Linked DNA regions of Drosophila melanogaster. The gene in region 3 interacts genetically with the main gene of each other region. Each region holds a gene or a part of one and is shown on either strand. Other genes may lie near its edges.

What was found. A genetic interaction does not mean that the proteins touch.
Region 1: of nst (region 3) and sxc, changing one suppresses a phenotype caused by changing the other (phenotypic suppression), as found in Drosophila melanogaster (one study listed by BioGRID).
Region 2: of nst (region 3) and htl, changing one enhances a phenotype caused by changing the other (phenotypic enhancement), as found in Drosophila melanogaster (one study listed by BioGRID).

What each region holds. Positions count from the first base shown.
Region 1 is NT_033778.4:5,303,755-5,310,287, reverse strand, and holds the start of sxc (super sex combs), read right to left. Parts: upstream 3,001-6,533; 5' UTR 2,790-3,000; coding exon 2,636-2,789; intron 1-2,635.
Region 2 is NT_033777.3:18,049,985-18,056,289, reverse strand, and holds the start of htl (heartless), read left to right. Parts: upstream 1-3,305; 5' UTR 3,306-3,788; intron 3,789-6,305. UniProt on the Drosophila melanogaster protein: May be required for patterning of muscle precursor cells. May be essential for generation of mesodermal and endodermal layers, invaginations of various types of cells and CNS formation.
Region 3 is NT_037436.4:12,525,362-12,533,815, reverse strand, and holds nst (nesthocker), read left to right. Parts: upstream 1-3,644; 5' UTR 3,645-3,780; coding exon 3,781-3,881; intron 3,882-4,567; coding exon 4,568-6,014; intron 6,015-6,083; coding exon 6,084-6,185; 3' UTR 6,186-6,601; downstream 6,602-8,454. Other genes in the region: Tsf2 (transferrin 2), read left to right, coding at 204-264, 338-765, 845-978, 1,044-1,204, 1,264-1,715, 1,779-1,943, 2,010-3,068; eIF2beta (eukaryotic translation initiation factor 2 subunit beta), read left to right, coding at 7,213-7,227, 7,431-7,830, 8,139-8,454.

The DNA.
Region 1 (6,533 bases), on a different chromosome or scaffold from region 3:
GATAGTCGCTTATGTTTTCGCCTCTTTAAATTTATTGATGATATTATGGGATCCGTAGTATCCATTGCTCTGTAAAAGACATCTGCGAAGCTACTAATAGTTTTTGCTTTGGCTGGGTTCAACAAAAGAATTTTAAGTATGGCTGCAAGATCCCGCAGGCAGCACTTCCGTACAGCTTGAACCAAAAGACATTCGTTGTGATTCTGCGCCCTTACGAGTTCATCTGCTTGCTGTCTTCGGCCACTCAAATTTTTTAAATAATATGACGTTTTCGGGAGTCCAGCTAATTTCCTTTCCTTTTTATTTTTCTCCTTTACCTTCAGGACTAGGTGTTCTTCTAACCAATTTGAAAAACTTTCAAAAATTCATTTATTTTTCGATTGCATTTTCTCCAATTTCGCAAAAGATTGACTGAAATCATTCGTTATTAATATTATTCGTTAATCGTTCATTAAAGTCTAGCTTGCTATCAGAAATATGCCCACTGATAAAAGTGCAAATAGAATTTTCCTTTTGACGAACAACCTTTTGCTTGCGCCACACTTCCAGCAGGGCAGCATTGGAAATCGAGATATTGCTCCCTAAAAAATGAAATTTCTCAAGAAACCGCAAAAAACGCACATAGAGACTACCTGATATGAGTTAGAAATTGAACACACTACAACATGGATATAAACACTTACTGAACAAATTTGAACAAATTGTTGTAGCTCTATTCAAAGTTTAAAATTTTTTCAAACAACTACATGTTGACACCACTTGCTAAATGTACAAATTGTTAGAAATAGGCGCACACAATAAACAATATATTAATAACAACACATAATAAAAACCTAAAGATTGATTATCTATTTCAAATTATACTCTCCTTCTTCTTCTTTTTAAATTTTAACACTTTGAAAGTTAAGCTAAATTTTGCGCGCAAAGCAGCCACGTGATATATGCTCGCAACAGCCGACTTTAACAGCTGTTATTATAACGGTGCATTGTAAAATTAACTTTTGCGGGCTGTATCATAACAGTTTAACGTATTTCCAATGTATTAATACTAAAATACTTCAAATTTGCATACTTGTGAAAAACACATTATTGTAAAAAAAACAGGCCAAATGCCCCATAGTGCTCTAGAGCCACATCGAATGGCGTTACGCATCTTGTTATTCTGGTGTCTTTGGCCGTACCCTTTGGTCGAGTTCCGCAACAGATTTTTAAATCAATAAAACATAGCAAGGCAAATAATAAAATGAAAACAAAACTTATTTTTAAACTTCCTTCTTCACACTGAATATTATTTCGTGCAATTATCAGAGGAAGTAATCTGTATAAGCTTCATACTTTAGAGAAGGCAACTAGATACTATGCTCAAGAGATAATTCCTCAGGTACAGCAAGGAAAGATGATTGAGACACACACTGAGAACTGCAGACACATGCATATGTATGCAGATTGAAATACAGGTATAGATCATACACATCCAGATTCAGGACTACCCTAAAATGGGCCGAGTCAATGAGTTTTCAAGATCTCTCACTACGCAGTCAATGATATTCTAGAAATAATACAGTTTAAACAAATTAGACTAGTGTTAAGCACTTCAATTGGTGCAGATTAACCAACGGATATGCAGGGTAACGAACCCTTGAAATTTCAAAGGACACATCCGAAGTTGTCTGCTGTAGTTTGTTCGTACAGTTTAGAGGTTTCAAACCAATAAGGTATTTCAGCACCGGATTCTTAAATTTGTTATATAAAAAAAAAGCAATTTTCTAATCGTTTTAGAAAACAAAAAGGTGTTTTTTATGCCGCAGCTTATTTTGTGCAGTATGTTAATATTCAATAAATGGCCATTTTAAACCTAACAATTTTTTAATTTTAATATCCGAGATTGATCCAACTTCGCGGAGAAGCGGAAGCTTCTCCCTAAAAGAAAATACTGTATTGAATGAAGGCCGAAAAGCACCGAAGAACTTTTCAATGAATACCAAATAATATATGTACATATATGTAATATATGTTGTCAAAAATTTAAAAAAGGAAAAACGTGCAAGCTACAGCAGAACGAAAAAAAATTTAAGTGCAAAGTAAGCTTTAAGCCAGAAAAAAAAAAAATTACAATAAAAAATTTAATTTTAGATGGAGTGAGAGATAACATTATAGACGAGTTTCTCGACTACCAGATACCCCTTACAAGATACGGCTTTAATGAGGGATGCACATTTAGAATACGGAAATCGTCTGTTTTTTAACCATGTCAATAATTCTTTCAAAAATATTGCGTTTACATTTTTCTGGTATCTTTCATCGAAGCAATGCCAACATAAAAATTAATTTAACTACACGAAATAAGCTCAGACACTGAACACTGATTTTTATGTTGTGTGAATTTTTAGATGCGTACACCATATGCATCTCTTAATATGTTGTTAATATGAGACACATTAGACACATATCTATCTCGGGCCAGGCATAACCAATTGTTTGATTTATTGATTTTTCTTAATTTAATTGTGGTTGTCTTCGCTGTCAAACTTATTCATTTGCATTAATGTATAAAGTATTTAACTAGATGTATTCTTTAAAAAAATCAATTACAAACGTATGTACATACATATATAAATGTATGGTTATTTCTTACCGACTGATGAAAGAGATTGAATGTCATTTTGTTTTACGACTAGGTTACTGCCTGTTGAATTCGGATTTTGATCTAATAATATATGGGCCGCGGACGGCAGTTGATGGCTCTGTCCTTGAGACTGCATATTTATTCGTGTTTGTTCAACATGCATTAAAATCCAACGTTGATAACATGTGTCTAAAATCAATAAGCCACCCTTAAGTAAAGACACTGTGATGTTGTTTACATGATTAAACCTTTAAGAAAGAGAATATCAGTAAAATATCAATATGAATTGCATTAAGTTATAAAAGCAACCTGATTTAATTATTTTCAAACATCCACTCAGCTGTTAATACGATTTACAAGAGAAAATCAAATATTTACATACTCAAATATTGAACACTGTGAACAGCAACTTAATAGCTTATACCCTATTCTTACGGCGGCAAAAACCATATTAACATAATATCAATGTTATACCAATGATATACCACATATAATTTCAAATGAAGAGAGAATGGTATTGTCGAGTCAATCAGATAACCGTTAGTCAGCTCGTGAAAATGGGAACACGAAATTCATTCATCATTTTTCTGGGATATCGTTAAATACTGGGATATAAAATAAGAACAAAATTGTTTCAAATTGATCAAAAGTTCGGTCTTGACCGGTTTGGAAGGTGTAAGAAGGGCCGTGGCCGCGAATTAATAGAAATTGTATACAAAAATCAAAAAATTTCAAAACATTTTGAAATTGTTAGCGTTAGAGTGGTCATGGCAAAATGTTTTCTGGCAAATTCATAGAAATTTAAAAGAAAATAAAAATATGAAAGAATAATAAAACATTTTACATAAGTGTAGACGTGGCAGTTTTGTCCGGTATGTGTGCGTTGGATTGCACATGGCAACATGGGTTAACAAACTTGCGCGGCGCCTATGTCTCTAGAATCACATATCACATACAGTTTGTCAAGAAACTGTTTACACACTGTAAAATAAGTTGAATTTTTGACTTTAAAGCTAAAAATAAAGGGTTTTTTGCTTAATTAAACGCAATTTTTTTTATAAAATATAATCAAACAATATTTATTTTACTTATAAATCAAAAAACAAATTAAAAATATTAAATATACAAGAAAATAAACAACAAATTCCAAGTTTACACGCTTTTAAGACTGTCAAGAAACTCTCTTTATTACAGTTGCGGTAACAATAATAGCATCATAAGCACATTTCGTGTTTGTCCCAGCTTTTCTCTATTTTCTGACACTTTCTCATTATTTTACTCACTAAACTTAAATACTACAATGATTTTCAATCGAAATAAAAAAATTAGTAACAGATCTCATGGATATTTTAAAAATAATTGGTAAAACAAAAAAAAAACCTTCAAATTTAGGCGGTAACAAACATAGCACTGTTTCTCGTAGTTTGCTTGGGATGCGATCGGGTGTGGTACCGTTTTGGTTTTAAGACTCCTCTCAGCCGCTAGGATCTCGGGCTCCGTGACAGGCCGCAATTCGTCTCCGCTTGGCCCGATCTGGGAATTGGGAATGGCAGACCGAACAGGAACAGAACGTTAAAGATGTTTTCCAGAGCAGATGGATCGCTTTCTGCTGCGACGCAGACTTTCAGAAAGCATTCACGATTGCTGGCTCTAATCGTTTTCTTCGGTGAATTCTTTGTGACCTTGTATTCCGTATGGCATGCTTCCAGACGCGTGGTGCCACGAGCTCTTTGTACGAGTCTCGTTGCGCGTAGGCTGATGATGCGCTGCAAGGCAATATCCTCGCTCCACCAGAAAACCAGGGTGTGGTGCCTTCGGTTCGTTTTCCTCATTCGCATGCTTTGGCCGCAGGCCTCCTCCACCCTCGCTACTATTTTATCCGCTGCTGCGATCACAAGTTCGCCTCGTTGACCGTCAGGTAATGGAGAATGCCGGCGGACTCTTCTAGACTCATGGTGTTCTGTCGGTAGGCCTTAGGTTACTGCGTGTTAGCCCTGCTCTCGATTGCCTTTGTGCCTATTTCGACCTGGATCGCCTCGTGGTCACTGACTGTGACCACCTCCTTGATACCCCAACAGGAGAAGCGAGCGAATGGACTGCTTATGAACGTGAGGTCGATAATTAATCCTGCAACGGCACTGTTGAACGTCCAGCCTAGCGAATGTTTCGAGATTTAATTTGCCCTTGGGAGTTGTGTGTGGCGACCACACTAGAGCGGCCCACACGTTAAAGTCCCATCCGACCACGACGTTGCACCGTTCTCGAAAATCGCAGGTAAGTATAAGCAGTTGTATAATTATATATGAAAATGCATTGAGGCTTAAGAATTTTTCATTTGGAAATTATATATGCTTACAGTATTTGAATTATTTAAAATTATACTGCTAATGTTAATATTAAAAAATTCGTTATTCTTGAATATTTGTTATATTCGTAAATATTCTTTAAAAAATAACAGACAGAAGGGAGCGTTTCCGACCATATGAAGTATTTATATTCTTGATCAGGGACCAATAGCCGAGTCCGTATGAACGTCGAGATCTCAGGAACTATGAAAGCTAGATTGAAAGCTAGGTTAAGATTCAGCATACAGATTCTAGGGACAAAGGCGCACACACACTTTTAAAAACACGTGTTGATTTTTTTTACATTATTATTAATATTGTAAATTTCTATCGATTTGCAAAAAAAAATTGTTGCCTCGCACACTCTAAAGCCCTAAAACTGCCACTCGCACAATTTTTCAAAATTTTAGATATTTTTTTATAATTTTGTTAGTCTTGTAAATTTCTATTGATTTGTCATGCCGACTCTAAGGCTTTAAAACCGCCCAAGACTGAAAATTTGTTGGATATTTTGTTATAATTTTATTAGTCTTGTAAATTTCTATCGATTTGCCAAAACACTATTTTCCACTCCCACTCGAACGCCCTAAAACCGAGCAAAAGTGCCACGCCCACATTTTTGAATAATTTTTGGATATATTTTCATAACATTTTTAGTCTTGTAAAGTTCTATCTATCTGCCAAAAAATTTTTGAGACACCCACTCTAACGCCTTAAGCCGCCCAAAACTGCCGCAATTTCAACTAGCTGAGTAACGGGTATATGATAGTTGGGGAAGTCGGCATACTAAATTTGTTGAAAATTTTGTATCATGTATGTTGAGCTAAGAAGCCTTTTTATTAGCTATTTTAAAGAAATGAACAGACGAGGCTTCTGTAGCGATTTCGAATAGCTGAATAGATAACCCAACATTTTTAGCCAGAGTAGAAATAAGGGCGAAAATAGTTACCCGAAGAGCGCTGCAGGAGGTGTCACACATACATACAATATAAGCGCATGACTGCTCGTTGTTAGAGGTACGGTTCCAACTATATCGAAATCGATGGGGCAACTGGTTGGACGACGGCTCTCTTGATAGCTACTCTGATGACGCTGTCCCCGCCGGATATGACTTCCTGGATGCGCTCAAAATGACATCTCAACGGTGGAATGTTGTCCTCCTTAAGCAAAACTACGACGCGACACTTGCGTTTCTCTTGGAATAGGGACAAATACTCGCAGCTCAATCCTTTCCAGGAGTGTTGTTGCATCAGGGTCACCGTTTACATCTGCCTTCGCGAAGATAAATGAAATTTTAAGTTCTCTACGACCGATAACTGTGAAGTCAACTCCCACCATGACGAAAAAATTGGTCTGGCTATGCGTCGTCCCATTCCACCTTAGCACTCCATAGAGATTGCAGAAAGATCATGTGATTTTCTGACAATTGGGGTTATTAGACCAAGTGGATCATACCATTTGACCATTGTTGACAATGCAATCCGCTTGGTGGGTCGATGAACGGACCCAGGTCCGAAACAGATATGCAGATATCTATACAAATGTCGACTTTAAAAAATCCA
Region 2 (6,305 bases), on a different chromosome or scaffold from region 3:
CCAGATTCCTTGTTCCCGGTCTCCAAGTTCCAGCCAACCCAGGTGCAGTTATGATTTATGCGATACTCCTTCTCCGCCTCCTGCTCAGCGGTGGTTTGAGGTGAGGCACCAGTGCTTCGAACGGCGTAAATTATATCGGGCTTAGCATAAATCGTCAATTACAGCACATGATTATTATTAGGGATTATGGGGACCGGGACTAAAAACCAGGGAATACATACATATACAAAGGCCACGCCCGCGCGCCAAGCCCAATCCGGCCGAAAGGTCTGTTTAAACGCACTTTTAAGCGCCAGTTTTAGCCGCCCCAGCCCATACCATATCCATTTGCCCCCTCTCTTCTAAAGAGCCAGCTTTAAATTATGGCCTAGACCGCGACGGCGGCTAAGACCCTTGGTGGAACAGAAAACGGGCAGATAAAACCACTTTCCGAACTGAGAACTTCGAACAGTAGCCATAGCCAGTAGAACAGGGAAGATCGTGTTGCTGGGGATATCTAATATAATTAATACACCTTTCATTAGATTCGCCGACTCTACTCGAGATTTCTGCTGGCCTTTCGTTTCCAGCGTTTCGAGCGTCGTGTTAAAAGCAAGATATCAACGATCGCCGGTCTGCTTAAGCTGATTTACCATAGATCCAGAGATACATCAACCAGCCAGCACAATATAAATCAATCAAGTGCATACAAGTTCATTGACAGCTCGCACAGCTTGCCGAGCCCCAAAGCGCTCGGCGATGGCAACAATTTCCAGCCCCACATGATCCATGAGCCATGATCCTCCGCTTGGATACCCGAACACCCATCTCTGTGGCAGGCCAACTGGCCAACTCTGGGTCTAAACCAAAGAAGAAAAAAAAAGGCCAACAGCCTGTCAAATTGCCGGACCACATTGTAAGTTATGATTAGCTCACGCGCTCAAAGATTTAAGACCGGAAATGGCGCGGTGCTGGCAAGGTGGAGCCAATAATTCAAATTCGAATCTCCAATAGTTTTTGAGTGATTGGAAATTCGATTTCGGGCTTTTGTTTTGTTTTTTCTCGCATTTTTGATTTTTGCTTTCCGCCTGTCTCGAGGCTTATTGCATTTTCATTTATTTTGCTATTTGCCTGCTCTTGTGGCAAATGCAAACACACCCGCATAATTTCGCCTGCCAGCAGCAACCCACTCGGTTTGGATTGCGAAGATGCCAAATTGCCACGCACAGTTGATGCATAAATTATCATCGACATCGCCAACGAATGGAGCCATCGAATTGGTCTGGTTTTAAGCGGGTTTTTGGTTCTAGGCAATGATGAATCAATGTTTTGCAGGCCTAACTTATTTGAGCCCATATGATACAATAAATACATTCAACTCAATTTCTTAATCTTAATCTACTAATCCCAAAATTTAATTGATTTCCCAAGTCACCTAGCAAAAGTTAATATATTGCTCTTCCTTATTTTCATTGACAGCTTCAATAGCCCATCTGTTTATCTATTGCAACTGAATAAGTCTAGCAGTTAACTTATTTTTTGGTTGTTTAATCCGCTGGTCGAAAGCGTTTCTCATTGGCATATTTCGCATATAATTGGCTATAAAAATTCATGTTAATGTGCAATTAATCATATTAGCAATTAACTTTATGCTGTTTGGCTGCTCTGCACGAGATCTCGACGAGCTGCGATCTGCGAGATGGCTGCAGATCGTGTCGCCCAACTCGAAGATCGTGTCTCCAAAAGCCTGTTACCGTTCCCGATTTTTCATTTCCCATTCGCAGATTCCCAGAGCCAAATGGCCAAAGGCTCGACCAACCAGACTTTGAGCCAATTTCCCAATATTTATTTCTATGCTCGAAACGCTAACAACTTGCGTTTCGTTCTGGCCAAATTGAAAAGCCATACGGAAGCTGAAGCTGCGATCGGCAGCCTCGAGGAGAAGCACTTTTGGGTAGCCAAGAGGAGCCCGGTTTGGAGCCAGGTTGGAGCCAGGAGGCTTGCCCAGGAGTGCATAAAATTTAAGTATTATGACCATACACACTGATCGGTGGCCGTCTTTAACCCGTGCTTTCCCCGGTCTCTCTGCGGCTTTACGAGGTTGTTAACTGTTGAAACTATGCTAACCACTCATGGGGATCCTCCCTCCCAATTCCGCCGTGGAGCATCAATTAATCAGTCAGGCGTAACGCCATTTGGCACTGAACGGGTCCCGTCGGCCACAATTGATGGTCAATAATCGTTAATTGTTTTCGATTTTCGGCCAAAATCCCCCCTGCGTCATTGTCCATTGTTTGGCTAACCCTTTTCGTTATTTTTGGTGTCTCCATAGAGACAAACGCTAAACGATGCCATTGTCTTTGGCGCACAGCGTGTGTGCTTTGATGGCCTTTTCACCACGAGTGTCATTCATTAGAGGGGCTTTCTTCCATCGCCACTTGGCTACTGGTTCTTATGTGTCTGTTGGCCATTTGACATTGGCTATAAGTAGCTCATAATTAATAACTGCTAACTTACTTAGCGAGCTATTGTGTTGGCTAATGAATCTCATTCCGCATTTTCCGCCTCAAACGAAGCGCAAAGAAATGCGCAAAGAATTTGTCAGTAGAATCTTAGGCCCTCATAGGCCATAAATCTTTTTAAAAAATAATAATAATTAAATTCAAGTGACTGATCTATTCTGACTAAGATAAGTTAGCTATTCTTTTTAATAAAGCATGATCCATCAAACCAATTATAACTACATAAATAATTGATCTGAATATAAGGAATCTTTTTGACAACTACCCATCTTCTTTGCACCCTCATAATGAAATTCATGAATTTCCTCGCTGCGCTCGAAACTATGCAACATATTGTGCGTTAGAATATCTTTGAGATATTCCATTCGACTCAATTGAACGAATTTTAGAACGAGTGCGGTCTGTGCACTCAATTACATTTCACTTTCCAAGGGAAGGCCGCCACTCAGCTACACACTTGTGTGTGTGTGTGTGTGGGTCCCCCATATATAGGGTATAGGGGCCCCTATACCATATAGTACCATACATACATATACCGCATACCCAACCCCTCGCTTTTTCGACCCTTCCTCTCTTTGGCTGCGGATTATACAATGTGTGGCTGGCGTTCCGTTCAATTTTGTGTGTTTTCTGTATTTGTTTACGCGCCTGCCGCAAAAATACATTGCAGAGATGTGTTCTCCAGCATGTTGAAGTTGATGGGGGAAATGTGAATTCGTTTCATTTGTTCCCTCATTTAATTGAAGAGATTTATTTCGCAGAGCTGGCTCGGTTCTGTTCGGTTCGCTTGCTTTTTTTTGACTCAGTTGCGATCGGACTGCGTGCCGTTACAGTAGGCGAAATCGGAGGAAAATCGTTGGAAAATCGGTTGGAAAATCGTTGGAAAATCGGTGAAAAATCGTCGAAAATTAGAGCGAACGATCGATCGATTGAACGCGTAATAACGCCATATAATATAATTATACTAATAATTATTAGTAATGCCTCTTGGTGAAAACGCACACATTTTGTGGATGGAAAGAAACAAAACAGAGTCAAGTGTGCAACGGTTTCTGGTTCTGTTTAAGTGCCTAAGTGCCATATAAATGCGTACTAAAACATTTCTGGAATTTTAAGTGGAAACATTCTCGAATTCTGTGAACTTTCCCAATTGTGTTTTTAGTGAAAGACTTACAATTTAGACGAAGGCAAGGAGAAATTCCAACGCAGAGACACTTTGGTGGATATTTGGCAAGAAGCTTTTTGGCATTTTTTTTTTTTTGTTCGTGGAGCAACGCACTTTGTGAGGTAAGTCTTTAAAAATACACACCGTGCATCGTTTAATTTAGTTTATTTTGTTTTTGGTTTTTTTTGCGTAGTTGCGCAAATCATTTGTTTGATCCACTTTTTGATTGACCGCGCACAGCAATTTGACTTTTTAACCCAAAGGCCAAAAAGTGTAAAATGTGCAGTGGTTCGGTTCCAAAGCAATTTGTGTCGTTTATCCCGCTGTGTGTGTGTGTAGTCAATCGTTCAATTATCTATTCTCTGGCTACCCCATAATAATACAGTGAATATGGACAGTTGTGGGCTCCCCATAGTATCTGTTTTTTTTATTTTTTATTTATTCCATTCGGTTCTGCTATGGTACATGCTCAAATTGAAAGCACTTTTCCACAGGGTTCCCATTCTAATTTATATTTATTTATTTGCTTTTACAAGCCAACCGATGCCCCAGAGCTCGGGAAAATATTTCAAACTCATAATTCTGTTATATTCCAACGCTCCCTTAGAATGGGATTTTGTTTATTAACCAACAGCATATAGCATATATCGTATCATCTAGAGTCTAGATTCTAGAATGTAGACGGTATAGGAACATGCAATATTTTCTAGCCGCGTAAACAAACATTTCAACTTGTCTGCTCTTTGTCCGACTTGCTCTATATCTGAGTGAGTATATAGCTAAAGATATAGCTATCTGTGTGTATATATATGTATATATATATATTTATCGGGTATCTGTTTTGTCGGTCGGTTAGCTTTACGATGCCATCTTCTAGGTGATTCGGCTTCTGTTTTGTTGCCTTTGGCAATCACTCAATTTGCTGGCCGACAACCGAAGACGCTTCTTACTTTTCGCCTCCCTTCTCTGCAATTTATTTATGAATGATAATTAAGGTTAGGTTTGTTTAGCTAATTGTGCGGCCAGTTCCCGGTATTGTTCCCATATCATCTCAGGTGGGATCCACGCAGACTTTCGGTATGATCCTTTGATCTTTATGATGTTAAAGTACAAATGTCACGAGAATATATGCTTGCTATATAATATTAAATGTTTTCATGAGAGTTTATCATAAAATCAGTGTTTACCAAATAAAGATTTCGATTTAGAAATAGATTTATGTCAACAATAAAGTAATAATGTTATTTTTTGGTATTATAATATATTATAGCTTAAGCTTATCAATGCTACAGCACTTTTATAATGGATTTTGTTGTCTAAATGTTTGTGAGTACTAATAAAATTTTAAAGCTCTAAATGGCAAATTTACAAATATATAAGTAAAGCTTGCAACAATTTAAGAATAGCACATATTTATTTCAACTAAATCTGTTGAACGTTCTTTATATAAATCGCTGCGTGCTTTATATTTCTGAAATGTAAATCGAATCAATAGTTCACTACTCATATACTTTGTGATAATTTAACGTAGCTTCGCGTTTTTGATAAAGTCGACTTGCCACAATCGACCTTTCGCTCCATCTGCTTCTTTTCGTTTACCCCATGGGATGCAACCTTCTCGCCGTCACGTACTGAATGGTATATACTAGATGAACGGGTGGGGATGGATGGATGGATGGATGGCTGGATGGGATTGGCATTGGGTGGCTGATGGCTGGTGGAACCTGCCGACGAACCGTGCGAAATAACAGACTCGTGCCGGTCTCGACTTGGTATCGGATACACTGAGCGGCAGCGGGGCAACCGCCAAGTGCGTCAATTGCGGGTCAACCCGTGCGATTGAAATGGATGCGCCAAGTGACCGGCGATTTCAATTCGATGGGAAATGTACATATACCGTGCAATGTTTGTATACTTTGCAAATACTTTCCGGAACGTGTTTGTTTATAAATCGGGCGATTTTGGACGGCACAGGAAATACATACATATACTAAAATTGCGCGCTCATTATCGATGGAGGTGAAGGTCGGAGGGTGGAGATAGAATACCAAACATATATACAATTTTTGGCAGTTTCCGATTTGGCGGATGCCTTCCTGGAAGTCAACATTTCGGATAACCCCATCATTTAGACGCTGGAGTCGCTACTTCCCCTCGAGAATCGACGACAATGTCTGTGCAACACATGTGGCACGATCTTAGGTAGACATACGTATATGTACATTCGTGTATGTTCGATGCTGATGATGTGCCCACATGTTGCAGTCAACAATAGAGCAACAAATGCAAGCCGAAACAATATTTGCCCTTGTCTCTGCTCTGACTCTGACTGTGGGCGTGGCGACGGGGGCGGGAGAACAGAGACAACTGAACACAGTAGTCTTCTCCGCCGGCCGTTATTTTTGTTGCTTTTAATTTCTTTAATTTTTTTTTGTCCGCCAGATGTGGGCTGAATGTTGAATGCGGACTGGAAAGATCAGACCCAGAACGCGGAGAGAAACTGTGTCTGTTTTAATTAAAGATGAGAGTAATACCCAGTGCAAACTGAGAGATACCGCCGATACTGAGATACAAAGCCAGACGGGGCTGGCATGTGTGGAAAATTAAGGCTGCCGTTGAAAGCGAAAAGATGCGGGACG
Region 3 (8,454 bases):
TATGTTTCTTGATTCATATCTCACTTAAGCATTCTCCACTGTGTGTACCTGTTGGTATTTTTTGAAATCATGTCTATTTCTGCCCGCTCTGGTTACACTGGCTTCCTTGAGCTGGGCTTGGGTGTGGTGTTTTGTTTGAGTAATTGTTTTTGCAGATAGATCTTTTTAGTTAATACACTTATTAATATTCTTATATCCCGAATATGGCTAGCAGCCTCGTTTTTGTGGCTCTAGTCGGCGCCTTATGTTTTACGCTCGCTAACGGTAAGTTGCGGCTGGAATACGAAAGTCGCCCATTTCTAGGGCGTTGGCATGAGTTAAAACCACGATTTTGCAGCACAACATCACTACGATGAGCACAAGACCACACGGATGGTGTGGTGCACCAAGAGCCAGGCGGAGCAGTACAAATGCCAGAACCTTACGGTGGCCATCGAGCGGGATCGGGCACTATTCGACGAGGTGTTCCTCAATCTCACCTGCTTCATGGCCTACAGTGCGGATGAGTGCATCCATCACATTGATCGCGAGAAGGCACACATCACCACGCTGGATGCGGGCGATGTCTTCACTGCTGGACGGTACAACTCCCTCATACCCATTATGCAGGAGAAACTGGAGGGCGGCTTTGCGGACTATCAATCCGTAGCCGTGATCAAGAAGGGATCTCTACCAGACTTGAACAATCTGCGCGACATGCGCAACAAGAGGGTGTGCTTCCCCTGGGTGGGCAGCTTGGCCGGTTGGATTGTGCCCATTCACACGGTGAGTAGAACTCCTCTTTTAAGTTGATTGTTTATTTGTTTCATTAGGCAACTAACAAACAAATTTTATCGTTTTGCAGCTCCAAAGGGAGGGCGGCATGGAAGTGGTGGACTGCAACAACCAGGTGAAGACGGCCGCCAGCTATTTCAATAATTCGTGTGCTGTGTACTCGCTTTCCGACAAACACAATCCAATTGGCGACAACTCCGATAAGTAATGACGCATAAAAGCCACAATTTTACACACATTAACTAACAACAAATCAATTTTCAAACCAGACTTTGTACGCTTTGCACTGGAAAGATACCCGGAGGACGCTGCTCATCTGCAGATCCCTACTTCGGCTACGAAGGCGCCTTCAAATGTCTGCTTGAAAAAGGAGATGTTGCCTTCTTGCGCCATTCGACTGTGAATGAAATGCTGCAAACCACCGAATTCAGTGAGTTACCAAAGGGAAACTTCTGAAAACCCATTACTGATCTAAGCTGCGTTTTTTAGAGAACATAGCACCCGACACTTTTGAGCTGCTGTGTCGTGATGGTCGTCGTGCCTCCATCAACGATTATCGCCAGTGTAATTGGGGCCAAGTGCCCGCCGATGCCATTGTCACATCTTCGGCTCGCAGCTTCAGCGATCGCAAGCAGTATCAGCAGTTTTTGAAGCGCATTGCCGAGCTGTACTCCGATGGCACACGTGATGATCAGAGCAGGCAGGGAGGACAAAGCTTCAACAGCCGCAACAACATCAACGATCAGAATGCCTATGGCCAGTTCGATAATAATGATCCGTACAGAACGCAGAATCAATACGATCAGTATCGCAGCGAACGATTGGACAGCAGTTTTGCAGAGGAAAGAAACCAGCAGGACGGCACGAACACTTCCATACTCTATGAGAAGTTCCGCATCTTCGAGTCGAAGCGCTATGGCAAGCCAAATTTGCTGTTCCAGGTAAGTGGATCATATTTTCCGTGATCCGAAATACATACTTAACATTCAATTGTTTTGTGACAGGATTCTAGTCGCGCTCTAACCGTGATTCCCGAAGATGATCAGTCATTTACCAAGTACCTAGGCCCTGCCATTAACTTTATCTACGGCATCCGTGAGTGTCCAGTTCCAGCGATGACGCTTTGCGTGACTTCGGAGAATGAGCTTGATAAATGCATCAAGATGAGGGTGAGTTGAAGAGTGAATATATGGATAGCAAGATGAGTTGATGATCCTTTACAAAAACACTTTTAGACTGCCTTGAAAGCTCACCTCCTGAAACCAGAACTCATCTGCAAGAAAATGCACTCCCACATCAACTGCATGCAGTTCATCGAAGCGGGCAAAGCAGACATCTCCGTTTTCGATGCCGGCGATGTCTACACTGGTGGCCTCAACTACGACCTGGTGCCCTTCATGTCGGAGGTGTACAATCTGGGCGAGCCCGAGTATTATGTGGTTGCCGTGGCCAAGGAGGATGATCCCGATACGGAGCTAACTTACCTGAAGGGTAAGAATACCTGCCATACGGGCATTAACACCGCCGCTGGCTGGACATATCCGATGGCGCTTTTCATCTCGAACGGCTGGATTCGTCCCTACGGATGCGATTCGGTTCGAGCTGCCGCGGAGTACTTCACCAAGTCGTGCGTGCCGGGTGCCATTAGCAATGAGTACAACACCGGTGTGCCCTACGACAGCATGTGCGATCTGTGTCATGGAACTAGCTATCGCTATTGTCGTCGCGATGCCTCCGAGGAATACTACGGGCACACGGGTGCATTCCGTTGCCTCGTCGAGGGCGGCGGTCACGTGGCCTTCATGAAGCACACCACGGTGATGGAAAGCACGGGCGGCAAACGCAAGGAATGGTGGGCCAGGAATGCCCTAAACGATGACTTTGAGCTGCTCTGCACGGATGGTACTCGTGCCGAGATCCAGGACTACAAGCGCTGCAATCTGGGCAAGGTTAAGGCCAATGCTGTGGTCACCCGCGGCGGAGTCAACTACAACGAGACCCAGATGAATGCCTACATCAATCTGCTGACCTATGCCCAACAACTGTACGGTCGCAAGGAAGTGGACGCCTTCAGTTTCAGCATGTTCTCCTCGCCGATCGGGCACTATGATCTGATCTTCCAGGACGCCACGCGGCAGCTGCAAGTAATTCCGCCCAATAAGCGCAGGTATGATGCCTATTTGGGCAGCGATTTTATGCGAGCACGCCGCATCACCGACTGCTATGCTGGTGCCTCCCAGTTGGCATTATCCGTGGGCCTGCTCCTCGTGGGTTCGCTGGTTGCAATGCTCTAAGCCACTAGACTCACTTAGATTTCAGAATTCTACAAGCATCTCTAGCACAAAGAGAAAACATATCAACATTTTTACATTCCAAATATGATTAAGTTAAATGTGAAATCCCTTCCGTCCGAAAATGAAACTCTAACTAGCCGAAAAATATCTGTTGAAGGCTATAGTTTATAATTTATAAAGTCCTGTGCCTTATTATAGTATTTGTTTGTGTACATACCAACTAAGACCGTCCAAAAAATGTACCTAGGAGATGTAAGCCGAATCTTTTACAACCGCTTATGTAAGTATACAAATAAAATAACTAGATAAAGGAGTTATTTTGCTTATTTTGAATTAGTATCATTTGAAGAATCCTAATATCTTGACCGCAATTGTAGCCGCCAAATTCAAATTGAATATGTGCGCTAACATCGCTTTGAAACATAGATGTTATTGAAATTTACGCTGGTAAATATTGCATTTAACCTTAAAACACTCTGTATTGTTTATAAAGCCAGTAAAATGTTTGAAATTAAAGAAAATAGCGTAGTTACAAGTTTCAGCGCAGTGTGACCGCTTGGCCGCATAAGCAAGGGTGGAACAGTGCCGCGAAACGACGGTCACACCCGCCTGCACACATCTGTGGAATTGTTAAATTTCGAAAGTCCGGAAAAACCGGACGGAACCTTTCACCTCGCTCTGGACCAGTGGCACCGCCCTCGAGTATCGCAAGATGTCTATTAACCTGCGCACCGTCTACGCCTTCGCCCGCGAGATGTACCCAAAGACCTCCAAGGAGACCATCCAATATGGAACAGCTGGCTTTCGCGGCAAGTGAGTAGTTGCCTCCATTAACGATCTTAATAATCATCATAATCATTATGCTAACACACCCACACGATGCACACGTTGGCGCATTTGATTAGCACACGGCGATTGTTGGTGGTTTTTTTTTTTTTTTGATAAATGGGCGGTTGCAGGGCTGTGATGTTGGAATTTGGCGTTTATTTTTAGATATTGTTCACCTTTTATCAATGGACATGCCCTTCTTTCGCCGTTATGTCTGCCTGTATGTGCGTAAGTGTGCGTGCATGTGCATATGTGCATACATACTGACGCACAGTCGCGGGCAGCGAACTAGTGCCACATGTGCAAGTTGCAATATTTTCAAATCTCAATGATTAATAACTTGTTATTTGTGAAAAATGAACCAACTAAGTATTTGATTACATAGTTTGTGGTTTCCGCGCCCTTATTTTCTAACCACTTTACAGCCAGATAACAAAGTTTCCATGACACACCTACTGATAAAAGCAATTGCAACGCCTAAAATGAGCAATACACAGTGCTTCTATAGGCTTATCAATCCAGCGAAGATAAAATAGATAGCTAAAGTGATAACACACATATAAACAAACAACATTAGGTACAAAACATTTTCCAACTCCAAAATACAAGCTAAAAGATACTTTTGTATCTAAACAAAATCCTGATGTAATAACTCCGCATTTTTTTTTTAGGGCTGAGTTCCTGGACAGCGTGATGTTCCGCATGGGCGTTCTGGCCACCCTGCGTTCCCGGTATCGCGGAGGCTCCGTCATCGGTGTGATGATCACGGCATCGCACAATCCGGAGCCGGACAACGGAGTGAAGCTGGTCGATCCCAAGGGCGAGATGCTGGAGGCCAGCTGGGAGGCGATAGCCACCGATCTGGTCAACGTCAGCGACCAGGAGCTGGAGCAGCAGGTGGCCAAGATCATAAAGGACAACAATATCGATGTGACGACCAGTTCCCAGGTGTTTGTGGGCATGGACAACAGATACCACAGTCCGCGGCTGCTGAAAGCGGTGGCCGATGGCGTGATAGCGCTAAAGGGTAACGTCAAGGAGTACGGCATTGTGACCACACCCATGCTGCACTACTTCGTGGTGGCGGCGAATACCAAGGAGGCATACGGCAAGCCCACCGAGGAGGGTTACTACGACAAGCTGATCAAGGCATTCGAACTGCTGCGCAACGGGCGCCTGGAGAACGGCAACTATCGCAATAGCATCATCTACGATGGTGCCAACGGTGTGGGTGCGCGCAAGATGCTGCAGTTCATCAAGCGCATGAAGGGCACCCTCAACGTGACGGTCATTAATCAGGGCATCGGTGTCGGCAAGATCAACGAGGACTGCGGCGCCGACTACGTGAAGGTGCAGCAAAGTCCGCCGAAATCCATGCCCGAGGATGTGAAGCCGTACACGAGATGCGTCAGCGTGGATGGCGATGCCGATCGGGTGGTGTACTTCTTTACCGACGACAAGGGTGAGTTCCATCTGCTCGATGGCGATCGCATAGCCACCCTAATCGCCGGCTATCTCATGGAACTGGTCACACAATCCGAGATTAGCCTACGGCTGGGCCTGGTGCAAACTGCCTACGCCAATGGTGCATCCACGGACTACATAGTGGACCAGCTGAAGTTTCCCGTTTCGTGCGTACCCACGGGCGTGAAGCACCTGCACCACAAGGCCTTGGAGTACGACATTGGTGTTTACTTCGAGGCGAATGGCCACGGAACGATTGTGTTCAGTGACAATGCTAAGGCGACGATTGCCCAGGTGGCCCAAACTAAGGAGAGTGCCAAGACGTTGCTGCTGCTCATCGATCTTATCAACGAGACCGTGGGCGATGCCATATCCGACATGCTGCTGGTGGAAACAATCCTAAATCACAAGGGCTGGGATGTCCAGGATTGGATCTCGTCGTACAACGATCTGCCCAACCGACAGCTAAAGGTGAAGGTGCAGGATCGCAATGTCATCGAGACGACGGATGCGGAACGCGTGTGCGTAAAGCCCGAAGGTCTGCAGACGGAAATCAACCAGGTGGTGGCGAAATACAAGCGGGGACGCTCCTTCGTTCGCCCCTCGGGCACCGAGGATGTGGTGCGCGTCTATGCCGAAGCAGCCACCAAAGAGGTAAGGCTTATAAGTTAACTCTTAGCACTAGATCAAAACACTCTACTTACTATCTTTTTTTTACGACAGGACACCGATAATCTTGCCTACGAAGTGGGTCTGCTGGTCCAGAAACTGGCCGGCGGAGTTGGCCCCCCATTGACGAAGCCCAACAGCAGTGCCCACCTGTAGAGCGGAATGACGAACTAACCTCTCACGGGAATCGACAATTGACACAGATCCTGGATGGAGCAATAAATCTCTTTACTCTAAGGTGCTCAATAACTTAAAAAAAAAACAACTTAACTCTCAAACGCATTTATTCTGCAAATGTTCACTGTCTTTTGTGTTCTAAAGATGACATATTTTTTGCCATTATTTATAAAGTTCTTTTCAAGTTTATTTATACATATGTACATTGTGAAAGTTGCAATTTTATGTCCTTCGCTATTTTGTAATTGAAGAATTTAATGAAAATGCAACCGCTACGTTGATTTTTTTGTTGAGCTGCTAGCGGTAACTATTGAAATTATAAAAGAATTGATAGTAGAGATTAATGAACCTAATCAAGTTTGTATTGCTATTTTCTATAAAAGTATTTTTTAAACAATCTAAAGATCCTTTTACTTTAGGTCGAATATAAATCAGTTTTCACTTCATTTGGAATTTACTATGCTGTACGCACAATTTATGGCAAATTTAAATCACTGTCCCGGCAAATAAATTAAAATTTTGCCAACTTTTATTTTTAAACTTAACATTTTAATAAATGTTAATGGAGCTGGCAGAATTGAAACGCGCCATCTGGCGGTCAGTAGCGGAGACATGTAGGACAGTAATTGATAAGGACTACTGTTAACTGTTACAATGTAAGCAAATACTTCAAAACTGTTATACTTGTGTTAATTAAAGCATACGTTCAAAAGTCGAGTTGAGTTATTGAATGTTAACTGTTCGTAGTTCGAAAGTTATCTAATTTAGCTAACTAATTTAGCAATTGTTTATAAAAAAGTTTTACTTGAATATTATTAATACTCGGTATATCTATGCAAATGGTATTAAAAGTATATTTTCGCATGCCGGATGGTTTACTCGTCTAAAACTCAGCCGGTCACACCGTCTGATTGCCGTGCTGTCACTTTGGCTGATGCAATTGCAGTTTTTTTAGTTAAAACAAAATTAGTTTCCAGTCAACTAGTATTCAAACAGCCCAGACACAATGGACGCGGAAGACGTAAGTTCCCGGAACACCGGCTAGTGCGTTTCATACGCGGAAAACTTGCGTGGAAAATTCGCATATTATCGTACATGTGCGCCCTTGTTTGCGTATGTGTATGTGTGTATTTACACATTTGTGTATGAGAACTGGGCGAACATTGAGGTTATGTTTGCTTGATCCGGATTTAAACCATATTGAAATTCCAATGATTTTCGCAGGGTTTTGATCCCACTTTGCTGAAAAAGAAGAAGAAGAAGAAGACCACGTTCGATCTGGACGCGGCATTGGGTCTGGAGGATGACACCAAGAAGGAGGATCCCCAGGATGAGGCATCGGCGGAAGGAGGTGCCGCCGCCGAGGAGGATAATCTAGATCTGGAGAGTTTCGGCAAGAAGAAGAAAAAGAAGAAGAAGCCCTTCAACATGGACGAAATCGAAGCGGCCATACCCAGCTTTGGCGGCGATGATGTGGCCGCCAGCGAGGAGCCCGAGGAGGAGGAGATCAATCTGGACATGGACTTCTCGATGGCCAAAAAGAAGAAGAAGAGCAAGAAGAAGGAACTGGACGAGCTGTTTGCGGACCAAGCGGACGACGACAAGAGCGAAGACAAAGAGAACGGTACGGTGACGAATTGCAGAGCAGCCAGGGAAGCTTAGGGTTATAGAATCATCCCAACCAAGATTGGCAGCCATATAAGCTTGTTGTCACTTGACAAAGGCAAAGCTATACGATTCTTAAAGTGTATAACTTGGCTTTCGCCTTTTCCGAAGCATTAAAACTCAGTGTATGAAGTGAACTAGAAATGCTTAGCCAGTGAGTTAGCATGTAGCTGTTCCAACTTTAAATAGACTCCAGATTTCAAAGCTCTCACTTAGCAAATAAGCTTATACCATACCCTTTTAAATAACGTTTTCATCCGTTTACAGACGAGGACAACAGCTCAACCTGGTTTGGCTCCGACCGCGATTACACATACGACGAGTTGCTGAAGCGGGTCTTCGAAATCATTCTCGACAAGAATCCGGACATGGCCGCCGGCCGAAAGCCAAAGTTCGTGATGCGACCGCCGCAGGTGCTGCGCGTGGGAACCAAGAAGACCTCCTTTGCCAACTTCATGGACATTGCGAAAACGCTGCATCGCCTGCCCAAGCATCTGCTCGATTTCCTGCTGGCCGAGTTGGGTACCAGTGGCTCCATGGACGGCAACCAGCAGCTGATCATCAAGGGCCGTTTCCAGCCCAA